Linked DNA regions of Neodiprion lecontei. The protein of the gene in region 2 purifies or fractionates together with the protein of the main gene of each other region. This does not show direct contact. Links are inferred from orthologs where the notes say so. Each region holds a gene or a part of one and is shown on either strand. Other genes may lie near its edges.

Evidence for each region.
Region 1: the proteins of stress-induced-phosphoprotein 1 (region 2) and ATP-citrate synthase fractionate together in Homo sapiens (co-fractionation; 3 studies listed by BioGRID, with this or other methods). This does not show direct contact. The link is inferred for Neodiprion lecontei from reciprocal best matches to the Homo sapiens genes STIP1 and ACLY.

Annotation. Positions count from the first base shown.
Region 1 is NC_060263.1:14,397,277-14,407,767, reverse strand, and holds the start of ATP-citrate synthase, read right to left. Parts: upstream 5,000-10,491; 5' UTR 4,861-4,999; intron 4,805-4,860; exon of another isoform or gene 4,626-4,804; intron 4,121-4,625; exon of another isoform or gene 4,016-4,120; intron 1-4,015. Other genes in the region: serine/threonine-protein kinase 16, read right to left, coding at 9,397-9,513, 9,609-9,743, 9,860-10,014, 10,108-10,312, 10,383-10,491. UniProt on the Homo sapiens protein: Catalyzes the cleavage of citrate into oxaloacetate and acetyl-CoA, the latter serving as common substrate in multiple biochemical reactions in protein, carbohydrate and lipid metabolism.
Region 2 is NC_060262.1:38,142,452-38,153,673, forward strand, and holds stress-induced-phosphoprotein 1, read right to left. Parts: upstream 6,890-11,222; 5' UTR 6,748-6,889; coding exon 6,739-6,747; intron 6,272-6,738; coding exon 4,728-6,271; intron 4,527-4,727; coding exon 4,454-4,526; 3' UTR 4,033-4,453; downstream 1-4,032. UniProt on the Homo sapiens protein: Acts as a co-chaperone for HSP90AA1. Mediates the association of the molecular chaperones HSPA8/HSC70 and HSP90.

The DNA of each region.
Region 1 (10,491 bases), on a different chromosome or scaffold from region 2:
AAACGAAGCCACGTGGCCAGGCACCCAGGTCACCGGCTCATGAAAAGGAAGTTGCAGATTTAGTTTTGACTTGTATGTATTTTTAGTAGGATTTACCGTGTAATATGTCACGGCAACGTTAGCAAATAGCGAGACGGTGGCAAAAACAAGCGTGCAAAACAAATGATTGCACGGAGATTAGGTCGTTGACTCATCGTTGAATCAATTGTAGGACGGGAAATTACGGTTGATACCTATATTATACATATTCGATAAATAAGCGTTCAAACGGTTAACGATAAGCTTACGTCATGTAACGAGTTGTATAACAATTAAATACTGCTACATAAGGTATGTATAACGCTACGAATTTAATTGAATTTCGAACAATTTTACGGACATTTAAAAATACCAATAATGCAAATAATAATCGGAAGAGAAAAAAATCTTAAAAACTTTTTACTATACTGTATACTATATGTATATACTTCTTACTACATATAGATATTGAAGAATAGAGTTTTCGTATAGTATTTTCGTATTTGCAGAAAGGGCAGGAGGGCGAGCTTTGCGTCCTGCGGTTACCAACATCTATTATCGGATAGCCCCCCCCCCCTCCTAAAAATGTGAATATAACGCATAAGCTGCGTCGCTTCAAGAAATATTCTCTAACCACACATGGATACGATAGAAATATACGAATTCGTATCGATATCTTGAATCGGCAACGATTATTTGACGAGGGAACATCAGGCGGAGTAGCGCGATAAAATATGCAGGTTTATACCACGTGGTGATAAAGTCACACCACGGCCACGCGTGTACAAGTAGGCAGGACTGTTATCACCGGCGGACAAGTTCATATGCATAGCGTACACATATACCTATCTACTTCAATTTTGTTATATTCTAACCATTACGTAGGGGGCGGTCGCTAACACTGCAAATCGCCTTGTCCATTGCGTAACGCATCGTCGCTCCGTAGTATGTGTTACATGTACATTTTTTGGAAGTTGATGTGAGGGGGGTTGTAAAAGTGCGTTATGTGTACACATACCTACGTGTGGCCATTGGCCATACAAACCCGGGCAATGAAAAGAATTTGCATTTACACAAGGGCTTAGATGTAACCTATTTTCACAATTTGCATTATATCGATAGCAGCGGTCACGAGACTGAAACTACCAGCCAGAATTAGCGGCCAAACGTTCTAATGCTCATTTGAATAAGATAGTGAAGTACCTTAAACCTCCGATACTTTTATAGAATTACGAGGATAAGACTGAACTGCATTTTTCTATTTCCAAAAAGTTTAACCGTTTGGCTGCTAGTTTCAGCTTCATGCAGCGGTCTGTAAAACTTGTTGTCGTCATAGAGTAAATGTTGCAGAAGTTGGATTAGAATCGGTGAGCAATTCTGTGAAGGATTCGCGAAGTATCGAACGCGGAAGCTTCATATTCCGGATATTACAATATCAACCTATTTATGTTTACTTCTGCAGGAAATTTCGTGTATAACTGTTATTCTTATCGTAATATTTCAAACTGTAACTGTTATTTTCCAGTCGATTGGACAGGCCGAGTCAAGTAGAGCCGCAGGTGAAGCCTTATAGAATCGGTTATGCGCGCACACACGCACGCATACGCACACAAATGTATTATCTAGTCACGACCTATCTCAACAATAGCGTAACATATTTCAAAATATTCTTCGCGGCCGCCGGCGATAATAGTCGTGATAAAAATAACGACCATTTTTCACAAAGTTATGCCACCGCGAGGAAAAATAGTCGTGCGATCATTATTTTTTTATATGTTTAGTTGCGAGGAACAGGATGTTTTCAATATTTGGACAGAACCTCCTTCGGAAACGAAAACCAATTCCCGATTGGCGACTATCTGTGTATGGTTTCGCTGATGGAGGGGTCGTGACGTCTGCTTGACATTAACACACGAGTGACCGAACCGTGATGAATACGTGATAGTCACGGTTGATGACGAGCCTTGCACGTCGCTGTTTCGTACGTTCGTTCTTCACAGGCGAGAGAAAATGTTCGCTTGTTTTTCTTCGAGTAACGTACATTTGATTTTTTAAATAACTTACACCATCGCGACAACAATAGCCGAAGGACATTCTATGACTACGATGATTCTTTGACTAATTATGTCTGCTGAAAGAGGCGTCGTTGTGACATTATGACCACATTTGCACTATCACTCGGCTCTCGTCTTCCTGTCGCACGGCGTAAACGCACCAAGTGTTTTTTTTTTTTTTTTTTAATCTCTCTCTAATGACGAGAAATATTAAAATATTGGGCCAAGGGGCCCATAAATTTTAAACGAATTGGAGGGAAATGTGTTTCTCTAATTCGATTTACGGCTATGCAGTTTTTGTTTTTTTTTACCTTAAAACGTGTATACTTATAGCGGAAACGTGTAACAGGCGGCAAATAATAATTTTTTTGTTTTTTCGCTTCCCACCACCCACCACAAACGAACGAAGAGCGGACCGAAAGATGTCTAACGCACGACTGAAGAATGAGAGTTTATTTTCATATAAACCAGGTCGGAACGTGTTTAAATCATTATTCATTCATTAAGGATGATAATTCACGCGTAGAAGAGAATAGTAGATAATGGGCTTCCTGCATTCCCTTAGCTAATTGATCGGAGTTTCTTTGTAGTAGGTGTACGACGGAAAACGAAATATGTAAACTTAGCAGATCTATCATATCTACTAAGTAGTACTTGTCTACGTTCGGAGAACTCCTCGGCAAACGTGTGCAGTGTCTGCATTACATCCGTAGAATAAAATATCCCGATAGGCCCAAAACCGCTGCAGAGAGGAACTTGGCTATTTTGGCAAATAGATATATTATCGCTACAAGCAAGCGGCAAACCCGTGGCTCCCGGTTTTTTTGCCACCGCGCGATTGACAATCAGCCTGGAGTCTCGCGAGTTTAGTCCGGAGTCAAAGTGCGAGTATTACGTAAATCAATTTGCATTTGCGGCGTCATGTGAGAATAACAGATAATCCGCACGCAGGCTACGCTTAATACTCAGGTCAAATAGATTCCTCGTAGATTCAACGTGCGTCGTACGCGTCATGCGACGGCTTCTGAGTTTGAGCAGAGCGCGAAACGCAGGCTTATACATACGCTAATAGAAATGGTGTAGATGAAACGAATTATACACAAATAGGGTATAAAAATATCGAAATTGTGTCATCGGTTTAGGTACATACATGTACCTACATTGATACATGTAATTATATACCTACATTGCATGATATGCCTACTAACGTTGCGAATTTATTCGAGACCAACGTCGCGACTTTTCGTACCAATAACCGAGGAATTCAAAACTCGAAGCGTTGCTCCGTACTTCTTATATACATTGCCGCATTCATTCGAATAAGGATTGCGTACAGGTACCGGACGATAATTGGGCAAACAGTAATTATGTGCGGCTTAATATGTAAATGCTATAATGAAAACGAAGTAGAAAACGTATTATTCGTATTAGGGGTTGCTTTAAGGGGGTGCCCTAGTCAACTTCGACGTTGTATGTACGTGCAAATATCGAACTCCACGTACCTAAAACGTGAAAATGGGCATAACGTCCCAATTTTATACACAATTCTCAACAAAAACACTCCAATCCACTTTCATTTGACGCAGAAATACGGGAATGGCATGGATTCCATGAAATCGCAATGGTAAATTCGTTGAATTCATGCTACTTCTTTATTTCTGCGACGAATGGAAATGCATGATATTTGGAGATATATAGGTACGTCAACGTCGAATCCGACCAGGGCACCCCCCTAAGCGTAAACGACGCGTTTAACACATGATTGTTATTTCAAAACGTCACGTAATAAGCCAACATCTTCGTCACTTGACTATTTTTGAATCCCCACCGATATTGAACGGAGAGAAACTTTGCATAAATATGAGGAACAGCATTGGCTAATTATTTTTCACAAACCGCGTGACGTGATGTACATAATTGGTGTACATCAGTAAGTAAGCAACCATTAAGTCTACATTTTGTAAAGTCTACATCAGCAATATACAAAAATCGTGGAACACTTGTTCTTATGGGTTATGAAGGAGCTTGATTTTAAATCACGAAATAACGTGAGCAATTCGGGCTGCAGTCCAGCTGGTGGGAGAAAAAGTTGCATAAATAAAAGAACTAGAAATACGTGAAAAACCTTGCGTAACCCGTTGAACGCGATTGCATATTTATTGAATTGGTGGTTACGTTTCTGCCAAGGTTATTCCTGTTTCGAAATGAAAGAAATAGCAAGACATAACCGTTTTATCTTCCTATCTGGAATACTGGTCTACACTACACTACAATCAATCAGGCGTGACAGATAGTAGTCGTATTTGATTATTCCGATTGTGCAACTACCCCGTGCTCAATCAGGTTTTAATTACGCTGAAAAAGTATATATTATCGATATTGAACGTAATCTCAATCACCGCGGTCACATCAACTGTAATTCGCAATGGGCAGGCAAACAATGATATGACTGATTGAAGCAAAACTGAAATGACGAATGAATATCAGATCTCTGCGCTATTTTTTAGGTTAGTTGTGACGCAAGTTTTACGAGAAGTTCGAATTTTTTAATAGAAAGAAGAGAACCTAGTTGTTTATATACTCGACAAGAACAATTGTCAAGTAAATACAATCCCGTCGTGCGTCGCTTGCTGTTGTTTGGCTGAACATCTCTTGTCAATTGGCATCATTGTTGCAATACGGATGTAATAAAGACGAGGAACAATAAAACTATATTATCGAGATATTGGAAGGTAAGTCGTGATTATAATTCGTCGGATTGAACGAAATATTCTATAATGTTACTCACAAGTTGACAGGCGCCTCGGATAATAACGTGTAATTCAAAATTCGACTGGAAATCCGACGACGAAAACATCCATCGACACAACCGACAGGGAGCGAAAGGACGATTTAACGCTGCGCCCCGCGATCGCGAAACACCGAAGACGAACAGTTGCCACGCTGTCACCGACTAGACACCACGGATCGAACCTTATTGATGAGATTTATAGATTCTGAGAGCTGCTTTACATCATTTGCAATGAGTTGACACCAGTAAAAGTAACTGGCTCAATCTAAGGGAAATAAGAGAAAATCTATTATCAATTAACGTCAGTTGCCTTCAATATGGCCGACACGTCGGCGACACCGTCCATGGAGACTAGAGGTAAGGAGGCCGAACGCATAGGGCGGAATCGTCGAAAAGTGGACCGTAAAAGTGATGAAAGATTTTGTAGTTCGGGATGTATCCGCAAGCGATACCAGCGCCTGGTTACGAATAGGATCACGGTCTTACATACAGGTCTTGCGACTCTGAGTTTCGACGTGGGCCTCTTAACGTGTCAAGCCGCTAGCGTCGCTGCGATCGAGGGATGCCCGGTGCGACAAGGATGACGATAGTCGCGCTCGCGCGTCACATGGGCGTGGAATCCTAACCCATAAATTTTATTTACATATTATAAGACGTGTCAAAGGCTTATTCAAACATTGTAGGTTATGTTGATGCATCCCTCGATCGCAGCTCCATCTGATTTTTCTTCAACAGAGGAGCCACTCTCTACCATTGGAATTCTATTGAGTCGCAAGACCTGTATGTAAGACCGTGAATAGGATACATACGTGAGGATCGACAATTCAAAATCACCGCCATGGAGCCCCGAACGCTGTACTGCGGACGTGGGCTACGAAAGCAGTGAAAATTTTTACTGAAATACCCGCTGGCGCTGCTGTACCCAAGAGAGGATGACAGAGACGGAATGAGAAAAAAGAGAGAAGAGAATATTCATATTCGTAGCGCAGTTATACGTAAACAGATGAGAAAAACAGTAAATTGTTCGTTTGTCAATTAATTCTGTCATCATGCATTTGTTAACTAGATAATATTTTTGGGCATAATTCAAAGTCGAGTTGACCTAAACCCTAGAAATATTTATTATTAAAAATTATTTTTATACACTACGCGTCAAATCCAAATGAATTAAAAAACAACAACAAAAAGTGCGAATAGTTATTATTTAGTGTACAATAGGAATGTCCTTTTTCATACAGATAGGAAACAAAAATTTTTAAACGACAAAACATAACAATTTTATTAAAAAATTATTATTTACTGCACAATAGGAATGTTTTTTCGTACAGATAGGAAACAAACATTTTCAAACAACAAAACAAACATTTTTTAACAATAAATAATATTAACAATGCGATAAACTGCGGACTGGTGTAAATAAATCGATTTTCACCTAAATCGAAGTTCATCCAAGAGCGAAATTTTCATCGCAGACCCTCGACAATTACCGCATTATCATGAATTGTCCAGCTCCGGATGGCCCGACGAACTCAATTGTTCTTCTACTCAACACGATGAAACTAATGGTTTCTCAGTGAATAATTTATATGGAGCATTCCACCCGAATTCGACCAGGCTCCGACCCTCACCCTTTTCGATTCGACTCGAAATTTTGTATGCCGTTCACTCATATTAGTAAAGGCTACCATATTTTTTTACATTTTTCTTTTCCATCCCGTTCTCGAGTGACAATTTTTTGAAAAAATCTATGAAACCAAATTCAATCAGTGATATGTTCTAATTGAAAAACGGCTTTCCGACTCCAAATGTATTGTCTAATGATGTCTTTGATCCATTCGCTTCCGGGCTCGAATTTCGTCTTGTCCTCGTATGGAAGACTTTTTTTCGAATGTACGCTGGAAATATTGTAACATCACGTTACGATTGTACAAGCTTGTAAAGAATCTCCAAAAATTCTCAACGATCAACTTACGCTTCGGAAATAACAATCATGGGCACGAATTTTCCGTTCTGAGTCGTAAGTTATATTAGGCGGACGAGTTTTCATATCCACACAGTCAAAAAGCGCGCGAAGGTTCATCTGGACCAATTGGTTGCATCACAGGATGCACAGATGATCAGTCGATTTCCACACACTCGGTATACCGCTCGAGACGACATTCCGATCGGTCGAGCTCTTGAACACCTGCGACGTGCTGCTCTCGAAAACATCCCTTCGACCATCGGTGATCGACAAGAAACTCGCCCATCTTATTGAACAGCTTTTGTTCGGCCTCGAGCTCCTCGTAATACTGAGCGTTCGTTCTGCCTGGTGGAAATATTGTCTTGTGCAGCGAGGCCATCTGTACGAGAATACTGGCGATGCGTCTTCTTATGCTATCATTGTGCTGCCGTCGTCCTAAGCGCTTGCAGTTTGCTCTGCTGGCATCTCTCCCAGTTCAGCAGCCTGGGTAAGAACAATATTTCCCCATTGTGCACTCTGCTACCAGAAATAAACTCAAAATAAAATTTGTGATTACACATGACAATATATGAATTTTAACCTCACTTTCATGCTCGTTTTATTCAATCCGTAAATTACAATTTAATAAAGTATTGAAAATAGCATATGTATTTAAAAAAAATACCATTTTCTCACCTGCTTAGACATAATGTGGGGCAATCACTCACTACACCTTAAGACGCTGATTTTTATCACAATAAGAAAATCTTTGCAAAACTCGTTTATACGTGCAAAGACGAAAAGCCAAGAATGACGTGTAAATCACGGTCGTATATACGCAAACCCATCTCCTATCTTCGCAGCACTAGCGTTTCCCGTGGCTGCATTTCGAACCCAAATTTTCACCACTTTCAGGGTCTACGTTTATAATACTGTAACGTTCTTGGACGTTACGGAAATAAATATGGTTTCGTGAGTTTGATTATCAAGCCAAAATCAAAGGCGTAAATACATGTCATGTAAAAGCTTTAATTGCAGGGTACGTGTTTCTGGTTTTAAATCTGAAACAAGACTGTTTTTACAATAATGTTGGTTGACGCAGCAACCTTATTCTTTTTAAAGACATAAGAGGTTTATAAACGTCTTTTATCTATGATGACTACTAGATCATTAAAAGTGAGCAAAACGGGTGATTTCACCCTTTGTAACAATACTTTTCCTATAGGCGTTCGGGCTCCTTTACTCTAGGCTTCATGATCACCGCGCTGACGGAGCCCGCAGTGGTAGCGCTGCCAGTCAGGTACATCCTGCGGATCGTTCATCACTTTCACAGTCATTTTGCTAGCATTGCGTTCGGATCCTTACCTCTAGTCTCCATGACACCGTCATTGACTACCTGCCCAACAAGATAGTAGACTTCTTAAGATCGAAAATGCTTGACTTATCGAACTCTGTCTAACTATTACGCAGCGTTTGGAGACTTTCATCCTCAGATATTACTGTAGGTAGCTGCCACCCATGCCGTCAACCCAGCCCCCTGACACTCAAGTGGACACTCACCACTGCTCGTATACTAAAAAATTGTACGCGTTTTGTCCCAGTTTTTTAGTTCCTCTACCCGGCGCTAGTTGACTTCTGACACGCTCGCTGCCCTTGCTGACCGCGTGCAAGCTCGTCAGGTAACTACTAGCGCTACTAGTAGTGGAAATTGGCGGCAGAATCGAGGGACATCTTGCGAACCACTTTTAGCAGCGTGTTTCAGGGGGCTGCGTCAAACTAGCGAAAACTGAAACCGAAGTGATGAGAGGAGATATATACTAGGAATACTCCGTCTCTCTCACTTTGCATTCGAATGGCTGAGAGGAAACGTATCGACGAATCCGGTACAGAGCGAGAGAAACAGGATATAATGGCATCTCTCTCCCTTACCCCTCCGCCACACTTATTGTACATGCGTGGCTACCTCCTATAGTATATGTTTTAAGCTTCCACGATAACTGAACTTACACGAACAGTTTCTAAAATGTCTGATGATCTTTCATCCGTTATAAATTAAACTGGCGAAAGGACGCTAATCGTAAATTGCTTCAAAGAATGATATTTTTTTTCTCGGAATTATATATTAAAATATGTTTATCAACTATATTATATTACATAATATATATCGCTCAATGAATCTTACAGCATGGAATGTGTGTACTACATTAACCAATCTTATTTTTTCGATTTTGTGATATTTTAAATATTATAATAAAATATTTTCCGTTCAATAATTGATTTAACTCTCCGACAGTTTCATCGCTCTGTGATCATGAACAGGAATAACATTCTTAATGATATTTATAGTACATTCATTCATCTCAGGCATGAATTGGACCGTACTGATCGAATATCCGTAACTGAATCGTCAGTTTGATCAATTCTTGGTTACTGTCCAACGTTGTTGGAATAAGATATCCTGGATGTTCGTTTAGTCTTTACCGAATTTGAAAATTTTAATTTTCGTTATTCTTTTTAGGAAAATATCCAAGTAATCCATCGTCATTGCAATCATTTACAGGAAAATTAGTTGGCATAGTCTTCAATAAGGATTAGACCCTGCCCTCTAGTTTTGCCAAAACGTCGTGTGCGTGTTCAATAACGCTATAGATGTAAGGTCTTTCCATTGGATTAGCTTTCAACATCGAAAGAATTAATTGCTGAATATCCTGCAACAAGGACCATAAACGAGCCATTACAAAAACACACTACGAAGTTAACAGTACTTTTGTTAAAATATTATTTCAGTCGGTTAATCAGTTACCTCATTGTATGGGGCACTTTCAGGGAATGAAATATTAGCGCTCATCACAGCCAACGCTACACTGTCCCCTCGCTCATACACGGTATCAAATGGTGATTTGAAATAACAAAGTGCATACAAAATACAGCCAAGCGACTATAACAAAAATGAACGTCTCAACTTGAATTATTTACTCTAATATTCGTAATAAGCCAAGTGAATTTGGATAGTACATGTTTTCTTGAATATAACATTATATAATAGTAACGTACCCAAATATCCGTCCTCTCATCAATCATACAATAACTGTCTACATTAAATAATTCTGGTGCTCTATAAGGCATCGAGCACCTTTCAGCGGCAACGTCCTGTAATGTTTGCGCCGTATGTGCTCCGCATACTTTGATCCGGGCTTGTGCTACTGATCCTACAAAATTATTATTGAAAAACATGGCTACAACCATAACAATCCGGTGAAATTATATCTGTATTATCTATTATGATGCAAGAGAAAGTTTACCCAAATCCATAATCACTGGGGTAAGCCCTTCGCCAAGAACAATGTTTGCAGTTTTCAAATCCCTGTGCGCTAAAGGCTCGGGCTTAGCTTCATGGAACGCCTTGACTCCGTCACATATTTGTAAAAATATCTCAAGAATTTCGTTAGGATTCATGTAGTCGGATGATTTTCCTCGCCGCTCCAATTCGTTGGCCAAAGTGCCTTTCTAAGTTACATTCGACGTTAGCTTTGATTTCGAAGTACCTCTTCGAAAGAAGATGAAACGTCCAACTTACATGATAATAGGGTAAAATGAGCAGCACTTCACTAGTAGCATTAACTACTGGATCAGCAGTGCCTTTGTGTGTTGAATCAATGCATTCTATGACATTTGGGTGTTTTATA
Region 2 (11,222 bases):
ACGGTTGCAAATGCAATCTTCTTTGAATGAAACAAAAAAATAAATAAAAAAAAACCAAAACAAAAACGCGAAAGTGATAGAAACGACTCGCTTGTCGCCCCCGTAACTTTACGCCATAGAGCTATGGGGTCTGAACCCTATTGCGTGTAATACAACGCGGCTTAAATGAGACTTGAAAACGAACTCCCGCTGCTTTCGTATACGAATTAACACGTGTTCGTCGATCAGTTTTTCCTTCCTTCCTTCTCCATTGCTGCACCACCACGGTACATATATGTATATGCATACGTGTGTAAGTGTATATGCATATATATATATTTTATATATATATAATCACTACCCGGGGCAAGTGGCAGAGCAGAGCAGAGCGGCACTACAGTTCCGAGAATATTTCTTTCAATCGAATTTCTTTATTTATTCTATTATTATTGCGATCGCCGCCCTACCCTCACCCCTCTTTGATCCGTCGCGCGAGTCTCTTTTTCTCTTTCTCTCCCTCTCTCGCTGTTCTGTAAATTATACATACTTATACATGTAATGTACATATAATAGTGGCAGACTGTTGCGAACGATAAAGAAATTTAATTTTACGTATTATAAAAAAACCAATTACACGGATGTTGTGTACGTTTGATAAATCGCGGTAACGAGTTGTTCGCGTGTATACTTCGGTACGTGTGTGAAAATTGAAAAGTAAACAATAAAATTATCGAATCACAGAAAAAGAAACTGTTTCTTAATTGGTTAATCAATTAATTATTCCATACCTAATCTGTACCGCGTGCAGGGTGAAATCGTGGGTCAAGACGGTCAGATCTCGGAGGTAAAAGATTTGGTCAGCGAGAATAAATAAACATGAAAAAGCGTAAGACACAAATTGAAAAAACAAGTGACAGGCTTTAAAATTCATATTGGAATTATCCGATTCGAGGGACGTGGATATTTGTTCTTAGCATTCGGAAATCGGTAATTAGTTTCGAGATGTATACCAATGTAATTTGCATCGTTTCATTGTTCGGATACATATTATATACGTTGCAGGGTGAAAGTGATAGCACTTAGAAACTTGTTGGGACGAAAAATTGAAATAAATTTACACTTCGACGGAGAAAGAAAGAAAAAAAAGATAAAAAAAACAACAACAACAACGACAACCCTGTGGAATATTCTACGTAAGAGAATGAATGTATGAATGAATCGAGTTGTGTGGCAATTCGTGACATGTAACATTTACTCACGTTCTCTCCGCGAATGCGAGTTGCTGGTTTTTCTCCTTCGACGATTAAGTTGGCGAAAGGACGGGGTTCCGAGAAGCACCTCGAGTAAAGATACGTCACTGTCAATTGCAACGAGTCAGAGTGCGTGCGGCGAGCGTTTGTTGTTTGTTGGCGGTTACTCGTAGCGTAAATCTCCCAACGTTCTCCTCAGGATCCGACGATCCCCTGCTTTAAGGGCGATTGAAAATAAAAAGAAGAAGAATGTAAGAAGAAGCGAATAGTGAGAAAAATTGCAAAAGTAAACGCAAAGTTAAGTAAGTTGCGGCGAAGGTAAAGTAATATTGAAATGAGAAGAATCAAACAAAAAAATAGAAAAAAGAAGGATGCGAAACAAAACAACGCCGGGGAATAAAATCACTCACTTCGTGTATATGCGTGTATTTCGTAACGAGGATCGACGCAGGCTCGATAATCCCCCGGAATCGATCTAAACTCTCGTGCGGATCGAGCGAGGCAGGTAGGCGATACGATGCGCCTCGGCTATCGGCGGAATTCGCTCCCCGTCCGTCAGACTGGCCGATATTGTGTGAAATCAGTCGCCGCTGCCCCACGCCAATGTGGGCATGCATGCAGTGGACGGCGCTAGGCTCTCTCGGTCGAAGGAACGAACCGACTACTCCTCGCGAGGCTAGCAGGCTCGCGAGGGGCACAAGCACAAGATTAACCCGCGGTATCGAGCAAGACGACGGTCGTAATTGCTGGCCGAGTTCGGCGAGACTGGTGCGCGCTGTGGAGTACTGGCCGACACGCACGATTAAACACCCGCGTTGCTGAAACGGAAGTTCGGGAAACGATTCACATTTTTGAGCACGTTATTTGTCACTAATGTTTACACACCACCGTCCATGATGTCGCATAGCATTATGGCGGCCGTGTTTACGGGCGACGCGCGTCACTGCCTCGACTGCCTGCTGATGCTGCCGCCGCCGCTGCTCGAAGGCTCAAACAGGCAGAGCCATAGCCAGAGCTACCGGCGCCCCCGGTGACCGAGAACAGAGGCGATCCCAACCACTAACCCAACGGTCGACGACACGCGCGCACCGCCGACGCACGTCACTCGACAATCGCGTGTGCGCCGCGCTCGCACCAATTCTCATTACAACGCGATCGAATCCCCCCTTTTCACATCTCATTCGGCTCTTCTCTGGCTAATCGAATATCCGCACGGGTTGCGCTTGCTTCAGACCCTCCCCGCAAACCGCATTCAGCTACTGCAGCTACTGCAGCAGCTGCAGCAGCTAGTCGTTCGCGGATCTCGACGATGTCTGGCGACTCCGTTGTGAAACGGGAAACTGATTGACTGGTTCGATTGATTTATGTAGGCATTCTCTGGGTGTTCAACGTCGCTGATAATTACGAGGTTGACGAAAAAACTTAGACTGTTATCCCAGGGGCATATTTTCGTGACCATTGATCGGCAGGTAAGTGGGCCTGAGGCGTTGAGAAGCCGTGTTTAAAACGATACGGTAGCTTCTTTATCGGCGGGAGGCGTTCAACACGCAATCCCATCATCGCACGAATACCCCATTAGGGTAACCGTCTTTGATAGCCTTCGGTCAAGGACTGATATTTTGAGTCGAAGAGGAAATTGCCATGCTCGCAAAACGTTTCCGCACGTTTTAGGCATGCAAGAAACCACTGTTTTATCTCGGTCGGGCTGACCTTGTTTTGTAAATTCATCGACGGCGTTTCAGGATGATTCCAATTGGTAGGGCATGTATGTAAAGATGATGATAAGGTATTCAGGGCCTTATCGCTCGCCTTGCTGCACTAACGGAGTCCCCCGAAACTCCGAAATGGGACGTCATACCGTAAGATCAACTCTGCAAAGAGAACGCAATTTCTGCATTTATTTTTGGCAATTGCATGCTATTTTTGCCTATGCTATATTTTGACAACACAATGCAACGCATTTACAAGATCAGAGGCATAATAAGAACAAATATGTGTATACAATATTTTAATTATCAATAGATATAGATAATGTTGTTATATATGCATGTAGTATGTTTACATTATGTATTTATATTTATTATCTTTATTGGAATAAATAATAAGCGGTTGTACTTTACTTTTCAGCACAATTCAAGATAAAGTATCGCAATCAATATTTGCCTAAAAAAAAAAAAAAAAAAAAATGGCTACGTACGACGATGAATATGATGGCTTTTCCTGTTGAAGTTTCATGTTAAAATTTGGAAAGATCACCTGGTATTTACACCTGATTCCTCGATTATCTTGAAACACGACACTTTTTGTCTCCCCTCGCAACATGTATTCAGGTGATGGAGGAATCGGATGTTAATGCCAAATGTAGCGTATGCGTTACAGAACTTGCCTTCATGGGCTAGTAAATTAAAATTTTTTTGTCTTATTTTTATTATTAGATACGTTATGAACTATTTCATAGTATATTTTCCGTTTTTCACATAATTAGTATTTATTTATTTTTTCCTTTTCTCTTTCCTGTAATATCCTTACTCATCATTTGGTTAGTCGTCACCCGATAGATTGCTTGTATGCATACCCATCAACATATAAAAAGTCTACCACTTGCGAGTTTACGTGGAGAAGACGAAAAATTATGCAACGAGGTTGAAAAGAATAATAAAATAAATACAGGAATACTTGAAAGAGATAAGTAAAATTACAATTTATAGACAGCATGGTACCATCTTGGGGTACATAATTTATACACGGAAATATGTAAACTTTGGAACGAATTTAGCAATATAGTAAATAAAACTATTCGTAGTAAAGTACAATGCGACAATATTTATTATTCCTTTTAGCTCAATTATTTACCGATACAAAAAACTTGCCCAATTTCAGACATTGGGAAATTCGTAATTCGTATTTGCAGATTTTTCTGAAAAATCGAGAAAAGGTATTTGACCGATTTGACTAGCAAATCGCATCACAATACAATATAATAGACAAAACAGCAAAGGCAAGCACTCGCTGGAGTCGAAAACCTCATTCACCCAATTGTATGTAGAATACGATAAAAATTGTAAAATTAACGTATCATTAACTAAATGTAAAGCCGTCTTCATCGTAATGAAGGAACACAGCGATGATAGAATGTTATATTGTATTACGTTGTTATCTTCTAAGGCGGGTACAGCTGGTAAATTCTTATAGATATTGTTGGCTGTTCCATTCCCCTGTCTTTTTCAATGTATTGCTACAAGTCCGGATTCAAGAAGCTTTTGTATTTTTGCCGCAATGTCAGGATTTTTCAGATGGCTGCAAAGGATTAAAGAAAGAATTACTAAAATGAACTAAATTATCACAGAATTACGCATGAGAATTTTGTACTATGGTATACCTTCAGCAAGGTGTATAGCTGTCATCGAAAGAAGCGTGATTCTACACTACATTCATCTTTTCTGAACCAGATTAATTGAGATCATTAACTATGGGTTATGCAAATAACAATAAACTTACTCTTGGAGTGCTTTTGGATCGCTCTGCATTTGCTCAAGAATCAAACGCATCGCAGGATCTCTGAGGATGTTCTGAACCTCCGGGTCAGCCATGGCTCTCTTTCTGACTTCCTCGGGATTGGAGCTAACAGCGACGGTACAGGACCGGTAGCCATCAAGCGCTTCGCTATTGGATGGGTCTATTTCTAATGCTTTCTGATAAGCGGACAGAGCTTTTCCTTGCTGCTGCATTCCTTGGAGGATTTTACCCTTTCTTATCCATCCCTTGATGAATTTTGGGTCAATTTCTACGCACTTCTCACAGTCTTTTAGCCCCAAGTCAAAAGCTACAAGTTTAGTATAACAGGCTGCTCTGTTACTGTAATATTTTGGCTCATCAGGGTTTCTCAAAATGGCTTCTGAGTAGTGTTTTACTGCTCCAACGTAATCTCCGTCCTTAAACTTTTGGTTGCCAAGTTCTTTTTCTTCCTCAGCTTTGATCGGGTCAATATAAGCTTTTCTCTCCTGCTCCTTAATTTTCTTATCGATATCGGACAGGAGGGTTTTAATCTCGGGTGTTCTGTGCTCGGACATAGATTTTTCGTAATAAACTTTAGCTTGTTTCCAATTCTCTAATTTCTTATAGGCATTCCCAATTCGAGTGAACGCCTTCGCTATAAGTTTAAAATCCGCCCTATTTTCCCGACCAACTTCAATGGCCTGTTCGCATTGTTCTATACATTTTTGGTACTCTTTTTGCTCAAAGTAAACTGCTGCGACATTGTTTCGATACGTAATATCCGTAGGGTCAAGCTCGATGGCTTTATTATAATGTTCCAAGGCGGCCTCGAAGTTTTTCTTCTTATATGCTTCGTTTCCCAACTCTTTTTCTCGTTTGGCTGCCTTCTTCTCTTCAGGAAGATTCTCATCCTCTTTTTTCTCGGGTTTTGCTTCCTGTGTAGGCTGCGAAGTCTCTCTCGTAGGCTTTGGAGGGTCGACATCCATAGGCTCGTCCATGTCTCCAGGATTCAGTCCAAGAAGTACGCTCAAAGTCGTAAGTACTCGATTATCTTGCAACCTAGCGCCTAGAACCCTGGGGTTACTTCTGAGCTCCTGGATCAGTTTGACATACTCGGGGTCATCGAGGTACGCTCTAGTCCTTGGATCGCTGCGCAATTTTACGAAAATATCTGGGGCGTTGAAGGGATTTGCGTCACTCCTCTGCGCCTGCACTTCGGACAAGCCCTCCCTCAACTGCTGATTATCAGGGTCTAATTTGAGACCCTCTTCGTAAGCCTTTATCGATTCGTCCAATCTACCGAGGTACGCGAGGGCGCTACCCTTTCTGGAGTAGCCCTTAACCCAGTCAGGCTTTAGCTCTACTGTTTTCGCAGCATCGTCTAGCGCCTGCTCGTACTTTTCAGCTTTGGCATAAGCAGCCGATCTGTTGCTATACAATACGTGGTTGCTACCGTCCAAGGCGATTGCCTCAGTGTAATACTTGACCGCTTCATCATATTTACCTTCTTGCAGCGCGGCGTTGCCTTTGTCTTTCAGTGCTGACACCTAGAGCGATAATCAAACATTGCAGAGGTTATTGTCAGGAGTGAAAAAAATACAAAATGTTGTTCAAAACTGACGTAGGAGTAGCATTTTTACCACGGTAATGGTCATGCTATCACCGTTTTATCAAATAACAGTCGCAAAAATACGGGAAAACGGAGAGCTTTTGGATAAATTTATTCGCAGCGACAACGTGAATGACTATTTAGCCGATCGACAAAGGAACGGATAAACAAATTACGGAATAAACAAAACGTTTGTAACAATGGAATGATTGCAAAGCCGCGTGAGCTTCAACGGTCGACGACGTAGCCCGAACGCGTGCATCGTGAGGACGGAGAGCGTAGTTATATATCTTGTGCGTCGGAGAAATTACGGCGAAAAATGAAGAGGTATCCTTGAAAACATTTACGAATGATCGGATTGTGCAATTTTGGGAAATTAATTACGCTCGTAATTATTTACTTTACCTTTTCCATTACGCCGGTGACTTCCGTGCGCTTAAGGTTCGCTCGCGTCGATCAAAACTGTCTGACTCTTTCCCTGTGCGCCGCTTCGAATGCTTCGACGATTTAGGCAGAAAGCTCTGGAAGTATTCTTGTTTGGCATACGAGGACCGCCGCTGGCGCCGTGCGCCCATCGAACGAACCAGAACATGCGCAAAATAGCGATGATTTAGCACATCCTTGAGTAGAGCACTCGGTAGCCATTATTGCGCGGGTTACCATCGTTCACGCGATCCTCGGTGGAGCAGTCTTACCGACCGCAAATAACAGTACCGACTGATGTCCCTGACGCGCGTGATTTAAAAAAGTTTCATTGCAGTTCTCTCATTCTCATGCCAATTCTGAAAAATAAACAGACTATGATTAAAAAAGGATTATTCTATCATTTCAAACAGATTTTCATATCTAATCTCTAAGATGTCTTAAAATGATTGTATACGTCCAAAAAAAAAAAAAAAAAATTCTCGCGTTCAGGAGAGAAATAATCAGATTGGAATGTGTTGTTGTTATTCGTTAATGATTTCTGATGTACGGTTTACCGTTTGACTTGTCACGAAATGTTACGTCAGGTCAAAAATAAAATGTGAACTAAACGTATTAATCCCTCTCACCGTTCAGGCAGTGCTGTGCCATCTGAATTTGTAACTAGATTTATTCAGCTCGTATGTCAGGTCACGATTGACTGTAAATCAATCGCTACCTTTCTTTCGTGGCTGTATATTTTCCGAGGTACCATGGTGTGTATCACAGTTTTCCCGTACAAATTATATATACAGTTTGCCTCTGTCTAATAATTGTGAGGACAATTTAAGACGTGGAGGAATTACAGATAATAGAGTGGGGGTAAAAATCGAGAGAAATATCAGAAAATGGAAGAGTCACAACAGCGAATTTTGAAAAATATCAACATTTATTTCGTAGAGTTTCAAATCTAGAAGTGTCAGGATTCCATGTATTGGTTTCCCATACTTTAAACCTTTTCACGTTTTGACTTTACTATATTTCAACTTTCTACTGGTTAAAATTCTGTGAAACAAATTTTCAGCTTCTTACAAATTCGGTATTGCGACCTTTCTATTTTCTAGTCCGTCTACATTTTAGCCCCACCTCTGTCTTCATACCGATACACCTAAAGGAAAAACTCACAAGAATTTCCAGAAACATCCTGTACGCAATGACAGAAGTAACGTTCACTGATGGTATCCCTACAAAATTCTTGTACTCATTCCGATGACACAATGCTGGACTTCAATGTTGTCAAAAAGTATTTGTCATCGGGTCATTTGCGCAACTTTCATGTATCCATATTTCATGTCTGCCGATAAATTACTCTAACATATTCAGGTATATCAGCTTTCGACCCTCCAACGGTTCATGCTAATTTCGTACAAACACGAAGGCCCGTTTATTTTCGCGCATTACAGAGCTATAATTATAATTGACCGGATGTTATTCCGTACCGCGGTGAGAAAGTATATTGTAATTCTTTAGCGTTAAGCTCGTCGTATTTATTAACGTCGAGAACGGCTCTGTGCATATAATTTCGGCAGATGCCTCATGTATGCACCGACACACTCGTCTTTCACGGCGTTATCGCGCGTCATACGCGAAAGTGAAAATAGTTTACCGGAGACACGTGAAGAGTTACAATAAATATATTACAGATGCGAGGAGAAATTCACGGAAACGTGGAACCGTCTAACGCATTTCGTCATCGAAAACTCCAACGTGTTGTGCGGTTTTTCCGCTTTGTTATTGTATTAAAAGTTACGTATGTTATGAAAGGCAAGCAGAATGCATCTGCTGACCGTAAGCGCCTCACGCCGAAAACAAAAGCACCTCCATTTTTGGAAATGATGTAATAAATTCCCGTCTCTCGATTTACGCGCAATCACTCGCCGGTTTTATACTCGCTCTATACCTTATACCCAATTCAAACTATTTCCTCATGCACCTACTTCGTGGGTAGGTCTGTACTATAATACGTTACATATACGTGACAAGCAAAACATGCGACGTCGCCGGCTTCTATTATCGGTAAAAATTCCTGATCACTCGATTATCGCCCTGAAGCACGTCAGCTTAATTCCCCACTGACCGAATTGCTCCACATAGCAATGGCGCGCTAACAGCCGAATAGTCTGCATCGGAGATATTATACCAGAACCGCAATCCGTGGTCCCTCGATATTTTGCGGTCAAATAGGAGGGGATAAATTTTAAACAGAAATTTACTTGGTCAGTCGCCGGATTCGTAGGATGTTGTGCATGCGTTAATCGATCAGCTGATCGCGATATCCGCGATCTAGGCCCTCTCTCGACCCAATGATTTCTCCTTTTACGGCCGGTATACGCATAAGAACTTTTTGTCAGCCGCCTGTATCGTTGAAACTGGTTTTACACGTATACCGTACTGTCCAACTCATCGTCAGTTCTAGATGCGGCATTTTCAACGCGCCTGCGTTGGAATTCCCAGGGGCTACTGGGGAATCCCAGTCCCACCGAATGGAACCTCGAACCGTGTACAACGAACGCGCTGGCTGCGATTCTAGAGAGCCTCGCGAAGCGAAAAGCCGCAGCCGCAAGCTCGTGATCGAGAACTGCGGAAAGAAAGGTGTATAAATTACAATGGCTGTATAATAAAGGTACGCGTCTTCGATCTCTCCGGCGGTAAATCTGCTTCGAATTATACGCGTATCATCTACTCGCAGGCCGCAGGGTTCATTGCCAGAAGCTTCTTTTTCCATTTATTTTTATACCTTTCGTTGTTGTGCGGGCAAGGTAATTGAACGCTGCACTGCGGATGTTGTCGAGATCTGAAGTTGATAAGAAGAAAGTTTCGTATCATATTGACGAGTGCGATTAATTATACATCATCCACTGTTTCCTCATAGGCCGTAAAGACCCGTCGTTACAAGCGTTAAAAATTATATTACCCAGTTAACGCGAGACGTTGAAGGCATAAAACTTACAGCATCAATAATTCTAATTATTCATGAGTTTCTCGGAACGGTTTTGCCGTGTTCGCTCGCATTATTCGTGTTGCGTAATACGCGAAAGGTCGTACGACCGCAATGTCGGTACAAATGCACCATCAGCGGGCTTTACTTTTGACATTCTTTTTGAAATTGCCTCACATCCAGTCATCCATATTCCCATGTACGTAGCTCAACCAGGATCTCGATACTTGCCAAATTTTCGCATCAAGTTCCGGTGCGCTTGTTGTCGGAGCATCGTTGTCATACCGGTTTCACGAACAGTACCTAATGCAAGTCAGTATCCGAATAATTTCATTAGACGAAATTCCGGATTTTGATAAAAATCCGGGATCAGACGATGACGCAGGGGTCTGGAGTTCGGACCTCATGCGTAACGTCAAGTTAAACTCGGTCTACTGCACGCGTAGGCATTTGGAGCAAATAAAACGGTGGCAGGTATTTATAGGCAACGAAAAACCGTGTGCTTGTACAACCGTACGGATATAAATACAATAAGCACGTAGAGATAAAGCGTGCAGGGGAAAGACGTTCTTCCCAGACGTCGAGATGGAGGATGCACACGCATCCTCCAAGGCACGCTGGGACTTCGGCCAAATATACATACCGGGGACTTGTAGGTACGGCACCTTATCCACGTGACTAATCCGGCAAAGCCTAAAGTAGAGAATGAGGAGTAGAGCAAACTTCCCCAAAAAAGAGCAAACAGTGATAAAAGACCGCTGGCGAACGTCTGCGACGTGTCTCTATGAGATGGAAATATATATACCCCTCGCACTGCCTTCGCGAATATACCCTGATGTGTGCTGCGGCGCTAAGTTGATCCGGCGAATACCAGTTTTCGGTTCATCTATGCCAGAACAATCTGAGACAACTTTTATTCCCATCCATATGGATAAACGCTTCGTGGAAATCGCTTAGTGTGCAGAGAGAGAAACAGAGGCAGACTTGTTGGATCCGAAAAAAATTGACGGCTGAAAGTGATCCACAAATTAAGTTACCGGTTTGTGGGGGGGGGACCTCCGAAGTAACGTTACCTTTCGAAAATGAGAAATTTTAATTTTTCTGACAAGGTTTTATTATTGATGTTATTTGAATTTGAAAATAAAACTTGCGTCGAAAACGTAACGTTACTTTAGGGGGTCGGATTAAAATCTAGGGTTGTCTAAATAAGTTGAAAAGTGGTGACATAGTTTATGGACGGCTCCTTAACTGGGATCACTTAAGCGTTATCGAACTTTCCAGTCTTGGTTCCGGGAATGAATTAATGAAGAACTCGTTAAGTGGATACTATCGAAGAATGATTTAAACGGACCAGTATGAGATAACTTTGACAAGTTGGGAAAACACGGATGCCGTCACGTTTCACCCTGATTGTTTTCTGACAGACGTAATATACTTTCGGAATGTTAACAAAAATAAAGAACCGTAATGCGAATTAAGGTTCAATCTT